Canis lupus familiaris: one gene and its partners. The protein of the gene in region 1 interacts with the protein of each later gene in a pairwise test. Links are inferred from orthologs where the notes say so. Each region holds a gene or a part of one and is shown in the gene's direction. Other genes may lie near its edges. The genes, in order: NR1H2, NPY and MED1.

Region 1 (4,288 bases):
TTAAGAAATAGGAATAACTTCCCCTATTTTACAGATCCGTCAACTGAGACTGAGGGTGATATGCCTTGCCCCAAACTGCTGTAATTCATTTTCAGTCTCTTTCAGCCTTTTGCACTATTCTAGGGAAGTTAAAAACAACCTGAGCATCCCCAAGAATAAACACAGTTCTCACATATTAGGCTCTCCTTATTTGAACCTGACCTGACTCATTCTTTTTACCTTATTTAGTTGTAATGACAACCCAACTAACTCTTATTGGGCCCAATTTATTTTTTTTTAGATTGTATTTATCTATTCATGAGAGACCGAGAAAGAGGCAGAGACACAGGCAAAGGGAGAAGCAGGCTTCCTGCGGGGAACCTGATGCGGTCTCAATCCCAGGACCCTAGGATCACGACCTGAGCCAAAGGCAGGTGCTCAACTACTGAGCCACCCAGCCTCCTCGTTGGACCCAGTTTAGGAAAGGAAACTGAGGCACAGGCAGGGTCAATAGCCTGGCTCAACATAACACAACTAGGAAGTGACAGAGACACGAGTTCAGCCATTCTCTCCACTCTATGTCCATGTAATCACCCCTTTTAGTGGTAACATCCTCCGATTCCATAGCTTCAAGGTCATGTCGGAATGGACAAAACAAATTATAAAAGAGCATGACTCATACGTTGCAATAAAAAACGGATATATGCTCAATATAGATCTGATTATCATCCAGGGAAGACCAGAACAGTTCCCTTTTTCTACCTATTCAAGTACTGTGAGTTATCTTTAAAAGCTATTATTTGTATCACTTTGGTTATGAGGTTATGCTTTTTTTAAATCTTCATATCAACAAGTTCTTTTATATATATATATATATAAAGATTTTATTTATTTATTCATGAGAGACACACGGGGGGGGGGGGGCAGAAACACAGGCAGAGTAAGACGCAGGCTCCATGCAGGGAGCCCGATATGGGACTCGATCCCAGGACTCTAGGATCATGCCCTGGGCCAAAGGCAGGCACCAAACCGCTGAGCCACCCAGGGAGCCCTCAACAAGTTCTTTTTTTAATAGATTTTTCCTGGGTCTAGGTTTGCAATTCAATTTATTTCAAACCAATAAGCAACGTGCCTCTAAAACCAGAAAACTTGTTAATCAAACAAGGACAAACATGCTTCAAATCAACGTGTGCGACAAGGAGCAGAAGGTCGGGAGCTTTGTGACCAGTAAACCCCCAAGCTACGAGCCCAGAGAGGAACAGGGCTGGAGCAAAAGCAGCCCAGCTCCCACTCGGAAGGTTTGAGACAGGCCACGCCCCCTCCCGCACTACATTCGGGAACTGGTCCGGAACTCTCCTGCCAGGCCTCGGTGGAAATACTCCGGACGGTAAGCTTCCGGTGAGAATACGACTTCCGTGCGGGGCAGCCGATTTGGCTAGTTAAGCGGACCGGAAGTCCGTCACTCCTGACTGCCCGCCCCCTTCCTAAAGTGACGCACGGCGGGGTTGCCGGAAGAAGTGGCGAAGTTACTTTTGAGGGGATCCGAGAAGCGGCGGCGTGCCAGGGGATACAGAGAAGGAGGAGGAAAAGCAGAGCAAGGGGACAGAGGCAGGTGCACTAGAGTGTGGGGAGACTCGGGAGGCGTCCTGGGCCCGGGGCTTCCCGGCGTTCCCCGCGCTGCTCCGCTCAGCCTCCTTCTCTCCTTCCCCCCCCTCCCTTCCGTAGCTCGCGCTGTCTCCGGTTGTTTCCAGGGCAACGGGAGTAGGAGACCCCGCGAGAGGCCGCCCACAAGACCCTCGCGCGCAGCCATGAGCCCCGCCCCCCACTGGTGTTCGGAGAGGGGCGGGACCTGGAGCGAGGTGTGGGGGCGGAGCGTGAAGGGAGGGGTGAGGCGTGGCCTGACGGGAGGTGGGGCGGGGCCTGCAGGGAGGGGCACCGGCGGGGCGGGGCAAGGGGAGGGGCGGGGCGTGATGGCTGGAGTGAGGGTGGGACCTGGTAGGCTTGGGCGGGACCTAGATGGAAAAGTGGGGGTGGGGCAAGGGGAGGTGGTGGGGTCAGGGTGGGAGTTGGGGATGCTATTTCCGCGGAGGTGGGGAGTTCTTACTCGTAGGTAGGGTGAAACTGGGTGGGATGGAGGAAGTGAGGGCGGAGCACGATGGAAGCAGAAAGGGCAGTACCTGCAGGAACGGAGTGGGCGGAGCCTACGGGAGGGGCGGAGTCTAGGTGAGGGCAGGGCTGAGAGCCTGTGGAGGCCTGGAGCGGTCGGGGGCGGGCTCTGTCCCAACCTGAGGAGAGGTCCCAGAGGCAGGCAGGGGCTAGGCGGGGGTCTCTGCAGTAAAGGAGGAGCCTGGAAAAATGGAAGAAACAGGTGCCCGCATCAGGACTTGGGGCTGGCCTAACCTGAGCCTCCCTGGCCCCACAAGGCTCTCGGTCCCCCCGTATTCTGCAGGTTTCTCCGTGACTCCACCATGTCCACCCCCACCACCAGTTCTCTGGACACGCCCTTGCCTGGTGAGTGAGCTCCTTCCCGGCCCAGCCCCGACCCCCGTGGCACACTTGTCAGGAGAAACTCACTGTGCTTACCTCTCCCAGGAAATGGCCCGCCTCAAGCCAGCGCCCCATCTTCTTCACCAGCGATAAAGGAGGAGGGTCCTGAACTGTGGCCTTCGGGTCCAGATCCTGATGTCCCAGGCAGCGATTGGGCCCGCTCCGCTTGCAGCGGGGGTGAGATGGGGGCCAAGGACAGGGGCTGGGACAGGGTTGGGGAAGGATCCAGAAAGGGAGAAAGATCAGAAATGAGGATGGGAGGCTCCCAATTTCTCGTTAATTTTTTCTTCCATGCTTACTTGTCACTTTTTTTTTCTTTTTTTGCCCGTGAGCATATTTTTTTCCTACTTGATGCCACTTGTCATTTGTTCTTTGGGGTTCACTGATATGCACGCTTTTGTTTCTGAGACACCATTTCCCTGGGTCACTGTCTGTATCCTGGCTTTTTGCTTCTCTCTTGTGGGGATGATCCTTGGGCTGCAATTTCCTTCCGAGGCCCTGTGTCTCAGGGTTCCTGACCACCCACCCCAGTCGTTCCAGACCCTGCTGAGGAACCTGAGCGCAAGCGAAAGAAAGGCCCAGCCCCAAAGATGCTGGGCCATGAGCTGTGCCGTGTGTGCGGGGACAAGGCTTCTGGCTTCCACTACAACGTGCTCAGCTGCGAAGGCTGCAAGGGTTTCTTCCGGCGCAGTGTGGTCCGAGGCGGGGCCAGGCGCTACGCCTGCCGGGGTGGCGGGACCTGCCAGATGGACGCCTTCATGCGGCGCAAGTGCCAGCAGTGCCGGCTGCGCAAGTGCAAGGAGGCCGGGATGAGGGAGCAGTGTGAGTGCTGGGGGGAGAGCCGGCCGGACCCCTGCCCAGCCCTGGGGCCTCTGCTGAGGCCTCTGTCTCCCGAACAGGCGTCCTCTCGGAGGAACAGATCCGAAAGAAGAAGATTCGGAAGCAGCAACAGCAGCAGCAGCAACAGTCACCAGTAGGGCCAATGGGCAGCAGCACAGCTTGTGGACCTGGGGCCTCCCCTGGAGGGTCTGACGGAGGCGGCCAGGGCTCTGGGGAAGGCGAGGGTATTCAGTTAACAGCTGCTCAGGAACTAATGATCCAACAGTTGGTGGCAGCTCAACTGCAGTGCAACAAACGCTCCTTCTCTGACCAGCCCAAAGTCACGGTACCTCCCCTCCCACAGCCTTGAGGGATGATGAGCATGGTGGGGTTGAGCCAGTAAGGCTGTAGCCAAGGGCATGGGGAGGTAACAAGCCTTCAGAGGGCAGGGCCTTGGAGAGGAGGGTCTCCTAGGGTACAGTCTTTGCCTCAAGGTGTCCCTGCAGCCTTGGGCTTGAGGGAGAAGTCCTGAGAATAACCCTGGCCCCTGTTTCCCCAGCCCTGGCCTCTGGGTGCAGACCCCCAGTCCCGCGATGCCCGCCAGCAGCGTTTTGCCCACTTCACGGAACTAGCCATCATCTCAGTCCAGGAGATTGTGGATTTCGCCAAACAAGTGCCTGGCTTCCTGCAGCTGGGCCGCGAGGACCAGATCGCCCTCCTGAAGGCGTCTACCATTGAGGTAATGGGCAGTCTGCCCATCCTCTACAAGGCCCTTCCTTCCTGCCCATGAGGAGCTCCAGGGATAAGCCTCAGGAAAGCTGTTGGGAGTATAGTGATGAGTCATATACCTCCAGTTGTTGCCCTTGTGGAGAGGATACCCTACAGGGGAAGGCCAAAATACTAAACAGATAATCAGAGCCTCCCATGAGCCAAAGAGAACAAG
Region 2 (4,064 bases), on another chromosome or scaffold:
CAAGTTCCCTGGAGCAACTCTGAGAGACCTGAAATATGTGTCCCTGTCATATTTTTGTGCAATATGGAAAGAGAAGCATTCACCTAAGTGAAGGGGATGTGGTCTTCAAAATTTCTCATGTGCGTACACACACACACACACACAGAGAGAGAGAGAGAGAGAGAGAGAGAGAGAGAGAGAGAATGGGAGAGAACACCGAGTGCAGAGCTAGCCACACAGTAATTGATCTTTAATTCAGTGCGGTGGAAACAGCACAAAAGCGCTCAGTTTAACAGAATCACTTGTGATCTTAACATTAAAATAGCTTGTACCTTAACACTTTAATCTCCTGACGTGCCATTTTTTTTAGAGAGAGTTGGAGTTCTAGGAATATTCAGGTAACTTTTAAGAATCAAAATCCTGTTCCTGTAAAAAAAAAATGGTTTATTGAATCTTTCATATTCATGCCAATAAATGATTTTTTTTCTTTTACCTGTTTCATTTCAATCAGAACCCACACTCTCAATCCACGTTAATGAACATATCTGTAACTATCCCGGGGCTAACAAATAAAGGAGAAATTCCCGTCCCTTGAACTACCCGGTAGCTTTGGCTGCGCCTTGCCCTGGACGGCGCGTCGGCGGGTCTGCAGGCCGTGGAAGCGCCGCTCCTTGCCGGCAGCGCGGGCAGGTGGGGTTACCGCGTCCCGTTTCTGAAGACTTTGCAAGCGCCACCCTTTCAGCCCTGATGGAGCCGGAGTCCCCGCGTTGGGGCGAGTACTTGGGGTGGGCTGGTCCCCTCGCAAAGAAAGCGGGGGCAGGGCCCGAAGCCACAGGATCCCATCTAAGACCCCGAGGGGCGGAGGGGGCCATTCGCCCTGGGACAGGCGCCCCGCGCCAGGTTCCGCGCAGGGAGATCGGTGCACGGAGGGGTCCCGGCTGCGGGCTGGTGCCCCGCGTCGCTGCGGCGGGCGTCCCGGGGATGCTCCACCGCTGGAGGCGGCGCGCCCCCCACCCTAGCGCCCAGCCGGTCGGAGGTCCCGGTGACGGGCGACACACAGGGTCTGGGCTGCTCCCATCTCCAGCGGGACTGGACGGGGGGTGACGAGCGCCCGCTCTCGCCTGCCCGGGGCCCCCTGCAGGGCGGGGGTGGAGGAGCGGGGCGGGGGGGCGGGGGGCGGCTCCAGAAGCGGCGGCTCGCGCGACTGCGGCCTCGGCCCCCCTCCCCGCCGCCCCCGCCAGTCGGGGGCGGGAAGCGGCGGGTGGGAGTCACCGAACGTGATCGCCCGAGGCCCCTCCTGCCGCCGCGAGGGAGCGCCATAAAAGCCCTGTTGCGCCCCGCTCTCCGCACCGCGTCCGCCGGCGCTCACCCCTCGGACAGGCGCCCCGGGACCGCACAGCCCTCGCCGCCCGGCCACGCCCGCCACCGTGAGTGCCGGACCCGCTCCCCTGGGGGCGCCAGCCGCGGGGACACGGCGCCGGCTCGCCCTCGGGGAGCTCCGGGGTCGCGCCCCGCTTCCCCGCCCCTGCGCGCCGCGCTCCGTCCTCTCGGGCCCCGACGCGCGGCGGCAGCTCCCGGAGGCCGAACTCCGCTTGCTCCTTCTGGTCCTTTCCGACTGCGCTTCACGCGCGGTCCCTCGGGGCTACCTTTTGGAGCATTTGGAGGGGGACACGACCCCCAGCCCCCGGGCAGCTCGCACTTTCCTCGGGGCTGGCAGCCCGGAAGGAGGCTTCCCGGGCTGCGCCCCCCCCCCCCCCAGCCCCGAGCGAAGCATCCCCGGGGTTCGGAAGCCCCCTGCCTCCTCCCGGATCCTTGGGATCCCGAGATTGACTGCCGGGAGAGCAATTCTCGCCTCGCTCCCCCAAATTGTCACCCCCAAAGGAATCTCAGCCAGGACGGTCTCTCTCGCAGCAAGACAGACCGCGAGAAGAAACTTTTCCCCTCCGACAGGAGTTTGGGAAAGAGGGTGGGAAAGCGCCAGGACCCCGACCCCACCGGGGGGAACTGCTCCGTCTGTCTTTAAAGTGTCTGACCCGGCGCCCCTGGTTGCGCGCGGCCCCTGCGGCCCCCGACTTGCACGGAATCCGCGCGGACCTCTCGGGGGCAGCGGGCGGGTGTCGCCCTCAGCGCAGGGCTCTCCGCTGCCCCTGGGGACTGGGCCGAGCGCGGGCCGGGGGGCGCGAGTGGCCGCGGGGAGGGGGCGTCGAGGGACACCCGGGCGGGAGGGTCCAGGCGTGCGTCCCCCAGCCCCCGCTCTTCCCCGCTGCGCCCCCTGTGCCCGCAGATGCTGGGTAGCAAGCGCCTGGGGCCCTCCGGACTGACCCTCGCCCTGTCGCTGCTCGTGTGCCTGGGCGCGCTGGCCGAGGCGTACCCCTCCAAGCCGGACAACCCCGGGGAGGACGCGCCGGCGGAGGACATGGCCAGATACTATTCAGCGCTGCGACACTACATCAACCTCATCACCAGGCAGAGGTGGGTGGGCTCCTGAGGACCGACGCCCGGAGCGCCCTGGCCCCAAACCCGAGATCCCGGGGATGTCAAAGGACAGGGACCAGGGTTTTGTTTGTTTTTTTTTTTTTTCTTGCTTGGACCCCTGGGCAGCACGGTATCAGGCACGTACTCAGTTCTCCGTGAACAATTGCCCAGAGCCCTGAACGCTTTCCCTCTGCGACCATAGTTACAAAATCGTGACCCCCCAGATTTAGGTTCCCTAGGCTGTGTGGCTGGCGATCTTGCCCCCCTCACTCCCTGCTCTTTTTTGTTGTTGTTGTTGTTGTTCTTAGAGCAGTTGGGGGGACTGTTTGGAAATCTGGATGGGAAAGGACCCCCTAAACTTGGTCAGGAGTGCCCCAGAGAAGTGCTGTAGGGAGAAGGGTGAGCGGAGTGTCTAGGAGCTGCAATCACCACCACCAACCAGCAAACAGCTGGGTTGCCAAAGACATTGCCAGATTTTCCAAGCTGCCCAGAACAAATTGAATGACAATATTTAAGAAAAGACAAACAGAGCTCTTTTCTTCTGTGCAGTGTTTTGTTTTCTTTTGTTTGTTTGTTTCTTCAGTCTCAGCCCTTTACTTTAAAATCCTGGAGATAATTGAGACTTAGCATGAAAACAGTTGATCTAAAGTATAGACTTTCCCCATCTTCTGGCGGGTTGAGTTTTGAGAAGGAAGTGCCCACTTAGTGGTTTGTTAAGAAGAAACTAGTCACTCTGGGATAAACCCAGGGATTACATGGAATTTGAAAAATTGTAAACTTTATTCTGAGCCCTCAGAAAACTAAAATTGAATGCCATGTTTTCACTCTCAACATCAAATATTTATGCAAAAAAAAAAATCACATCCAAACTGTAATATAGAATTTAAAATTTGTTTCCAATTGGTTTATCTTAGTTCTATCTTAGTTTTAAGTCATTTAATGTCTTAATTACTGGGATCAAGTTACCTTAATAGGCTAAGAAAGGAGAGCCCTTTAAAAACATTAATGTTAAAAATCTCTAAATTACGTTTTGTAAAGTGTTATTGTTTGTTTTTGCTTTTACCACACTTTTTACTATTTGTAAGTCAGGGAATAGTTGGGAACGATTCAAAATGGGGAGAATTTACATTTCTTAACTAAGTTTTTTTTCCTGTTTCATCAAAAAGGGGTATGACATCCTAAAAAGCTTTTGAAAAAGTCTCTGTTTACAGAGAATCAGAAATACATAAAATGCTGAATTAAATAGTATTGATTTGTAAACCTGGAAGTCTGTTCATTTTAATGAGCAAAAAGGCAATAATGTTTTATATCCAAGTAGACTTCTCAGAATGTTAATTGCTTCAAATTCTTGCTTATGCTGTCATATAGAGCAGATAAAAGAACTTGTTCAAATAAAAAAAAAATATTGTCGTTTATGTAGGAAAAACGCTGTTGGTTAGTTTGTCGGTTATAACCCAGTAGATTGCTATAAAGCTTTATCATTGTATAAAGCATTAGCATTTCAAAATGTTTCCCTAGGCGTTCATTTTGTCTTTACCTCAAAGCCTTGAAGTGGGTATAATTATCTCCATTTTACAGGTCATGAATCTAAGAACATTTTATGAAGGCTT
Region 3 (3,577 bases), on another chromosome or scaffold:
GCAAGACATTTGTATCTGTCAAGGTCTTTAACAATTTAGGGATTAAATGGCCTTCATTTTAGAAAGTGGAAGTTTAGTTACTTATTTGTTTGGAATATTTATAACAAGCTGACATATTTTTTGGAATCGGATTCATTCTATCACCTGTGAATGATATAGTAGTTTTGCATGTAAAAAATGTATAGGATTTAGTTTCTAAGGAGACTGAAAATGATGTTCTGTATACTTAGGGATTATTATTTATTAGGATTTAGTCTTATATTTGATTATTTTATGATCTTTTTCTTTGCCTTTTAGATTCTCCTGGGCTCCTCCAATTTGAAGTGTGTCCTCTCTCAGAGTCCCGTTTTAGCGTATCTTTTCAGCACCCTGTGAATGACTCCCTGGTGTGTGGTGAGTTTTGAGGGGGCTAGCTCTTTTCTTAGGGCAGTAGTTTGGGCTCTTTATCTTCTTTTTGGAAAGTCAGAAGCTGAATTTCTCTCAACTCCTATATGTTTTGTCTTTCAGTGGTAATGGATGTGCAGGACTCAACACATGTGAGCTGTAAACTGTACAAGGGGCTGTCAGATGCACTCATCTGCACAGATGACTTCATTGCCAAAGTTGTTCAAAGGTAGCACTGGCTCTTTTCCATCAGACTCCCATTTAGAGGGGTATAAGAAACACTGTTTTCAGTATTAAAGTGAATGGAAATTTAGGAGGGAAGCATTTATTTATTTTTTATTTTTTTAAAGATTTTATTTATTTATTCATAGACACAGAGAGAGAGGCAGAGACATAGGCAGAGGGAGAAGCAGGCTTCACGCTGGGAACCTGATGTGGGACTCGATCCCGGGTCTCCAGGATCACACCCCAGGCTGCAGGTGGCGCCAAACCGCTGCGCCACTGGGGCTGCCCAGGAGGGAAGCATGTAGTCACTGTTTTGAATTCACCTTTCTCTGCTTTGGGATTCAAAAGCAATGTGAGCTTTAGTTTTTTATTTTTTTTAAGGTTTTTATTTATTTATTAATGAGAGACAGAGGCAGAGACACAGGCGGAGGGAGAAGCAGGCTCCATGCAGGGAGCCTGTTGTGGGACTCGATCCTGGGTCTCTAGGATCAGGCTCTGGGCTGAAAGCGGCGCTAAACCACTGAGCCACCTGGCCTGCCCCAAGCTTTAGTTTTTTAAATACCATCATGGGAGTAATAGGAAGTAAGGTAGAGTAACTTTAGGTTGGTATAGGATTCTTTTAGGAAGGAAATACCTGAAATAAGATGTAGATTTTTTTTTTTAAGATTTTATTTATTTATTTGAGATAGAGAGTGAGATAGACAGGCAGAAAGAGAAGGAGCCAGGGGGACAGCCAGAAGGAGGGGGGAGAAGCAGACTACCCGCTGAGCAGGGAGCCTGACATGGGTATTGATCCCGGGAGTCTGGGATCATGACCTGAGCTAAAGACTGATGTTTAGCCAACTGAGCCCCTAGATTTTTTTTTTACTTATCTACTGCATCACTTTTTAACATATGTAATATATCAAATGGTGGCATGTAGGAAGATACTTTAAGCTAGTCAGCTTCCCAGAAACATTAATATGTAATTTTGAGATTTTTCTAGAGCTGATGCTTGTGGCCTGTTTTGTAAATAAATTTTATTGGAACACAGCTATGTTTGTTCATTTATATGTTGTCTCTTTTTTTTTTTTTTTTTTAAGATTTATTTTTTAGAGAGAATTTGAGGGGTGGGTGGGGGTTAGAAGGAGAGAGAATCCTAAGCAGACTCTACTGAGTGGGAAGTCTGATGTGGGGTTTGATCTCAGTACACTGAGATCATGACCTGAGGTAAAATCAAGAATTGGGACACTTAACCGACTGAGCCACTCAGGCACCCCTATATATTGTCTGTGGTGCCTTTCGAGCTAAGATGGCAGAATAGTTGGACAAAAACCATGTGATCTTCAAAATCCTAAAATACTACTATTTTGGTCTCTTTAAGAAAAGTTGCTAAAATGTTCTAGAGCAAAGTGTTTTCGAAAATACTTTTTTTTTTTTAATTTATTTATGATAGTCATACAGAGAGAGAGGGAGAGAGAGGCAGAGACATAGGCAGAGGGAGAAGCAGGCTCCATGCACCGGGAGCCTGACGTGGGATTCGATCCCGGGTCTCCAGGATCGCACCCTGGGCCAAAGGCAGGCGCCAAACCGCTGCGCCACCCAGGGATCCCGAAAATACGTTTTTAAACTTATCTATAAGATAAAAAGTGCTTTGCTTTAAAATAATAAAGATTGTAGGGGATTCTTGGGTGGCTCAGTGGTTTAGCGCTTGCCTTTGGCCCAGGTGTGATCCTGGAGTCCCGGGATCGAGTTCTGCGTCGGGCTCCTGGCATGGAGCCTGCTTCTCCCTCTTCCTGTGTCTCTGCCTCTCTCTCTATATATATATCATATGTAAATAAGTAAATAAATCATTTAAAAAAATAATAAAGATTTTAGAGCAATAATAGCATCTTTCACAATATAGCTTTGGGATGCTTTAAGCCATTAAGGTTTATTTTTGTTTTATTTTATTTTATTTTATTTTATTTTATTTTATTTTATTTTATTTTATTTTATTTTATTTTATTTTATTTTATTTTATGATTTATTTTTTAAAGAGTTTATTTATTCATGAGACACACAGAAAGAGAGGCAGAGACACAGACAGAGGAGATGCAGGCTCCATGCAGGGAGCCCAATGTGGGACTCGATCCCGGGACTCCAGGATCATGCCCTGGGCCAAAGGCAGGCGCTAAACCGCTGAGCCACCCAGGTGTCCCACCATTAAGGTTTAGTTTTTTTTTATTATTATTATTATTTTTTGCCATTAAGGTTTAGAACTTGATGTTTCAAGAGCTTTTTCTAGTGTTTCATTAATTAAGGTAAATATTATATCCCATTAATCACATGTGAAGTCCTAAAAGGAGGGCTTTTTTTTAAAGATTTTATTTATTTGAGAGAGTGACAGAGCAAGCATGAACAAGGTGGTGGGGGATGGGCAGAGGGAGAGGGAGAAGCAGACTCCCCTTTGAGCAGGGAGCTGATGTGGGGCTCGATCCCAGGACCCTGGGATCATGACCTGCGCTGAAGGCAGATGCTTAACCACCTGAGCTACCCAGGCGCCCCAGGAGGGCATTTTCTTACTGAGTTCATTATTACCAGTTTTCTTTTGGTTTAGTATGACATGTAATTTGGACTTTGTGGTTGGTTTGTTTTGGGTAGTGCTTTAAAAGAGGTTAAGATTGCCTACTGGTACAGATTCCTTTTAGAATGAATTTGCCCAATGCTCCAGCATTTTATAGAACTATTTCTGTCTTACCGGTTACTTGCCTTACCTGAAAATTCCTTACTGTAAACCTCTGAGTACATATCTGAATTTCAGGCAAAATTAAAGCCTGTTTTCCCAAATAAAAATTGTTTTCTTTCAGCAGCTAATACATTGCTGATTTTGTTTTTTCTATCTTATCTTACAGATGTATGTCCATCCCTGTGACGATGAGGGCTATTCGGAGGAAAGCTGAAACCATTCAGGCCGACACCCCAGCACTGTCCCTCATTGCAGAGACAG

What was found.
Region 2: the proteins of NR1H2 (region 1) and NPY interact in a two-hybrid assay, tested with the Homo sapiens proteins (3 studies listed by BioGRID and IntAct). The link is inferred for Canis lupus familiaris from reciprocal best matches to the Homo sapiens genes NR1H2 and NPY.
Region 3: the proteins of NR1H2 (region 1) and MED1 interact in a two-hybrid assay, tested with the Homo sapiens proteins (2 studies listed by BioGRID and IntAct, with this or other methods). The link is inferred for Canis lupus familiaris from reciprocal best matches to the Homo sapiens genes NR1H2 and MED1.

The regions. Positions count from the first base shown.
Region 1 is NC_049222.1:107,001,689-107,005,976, reverse strand, and holds the start of NR1H2 (oxysterols receptor LXR-beta), read left to right. Parts: upstream 1-1,430; 5' UTR 1,431-1,591; intron 1,592-1,704; 5' UTR 1,705-1,865; intron 1,866-2,428; 5' UTR 2,429-2,447; coding exon 2,448-2,490; intron 2,491-2,571; coding exon 2,572-2,703; intron 2,704-3,057; coding exon 3,058-3,348; intron 3,349-3,425; coding exon 3,426-3,691; intron 3,692-3,904; coding exon 3,905-4,084; intron 4,085-4,288. UniProt on the Homo sapiens protein: Nuclear receptor that exhibits a ligand-dependent transcriptional activation activity. Binds preferentially to double-stranded oligonucleotide direct repeats having the consensus half-site sequence 5'-AGGTCA-3' and 4-nt spacing (DR-4).
Region 2 is NC_049235.1:37,907,412-37,911,475, forward strand, and holds the start of NPY (pro-neuropeptide Y), read left to right. Parts: upstream 1-1,253; 5' UTR 1,254-1,406; intron 1,407-2,263; coding exon 2,264-2,451; intron 2,452-4,064. UniProt on the Homo sapiens protein: NPY is implicated in the control of feeding and in secretion of gonadotrophin-release hormone.
Region 3 is NC_049230.1:22,961,899-22,965,475, forward strand, and holds part of MED1 (mediator of RNA polymerase II transcription subunit 1), read left to right. Parts: intron 1-297; coding exon 298-393; intron 394-507; coding exon 508-613; intron 614-3,482; coding exon 3,483-3,577. UniProt on the Homo sapiens protein: Component of the Mediator complex, a coactivator involved in the regulated transcription of nearly all RNA polymerase II-dependent genes.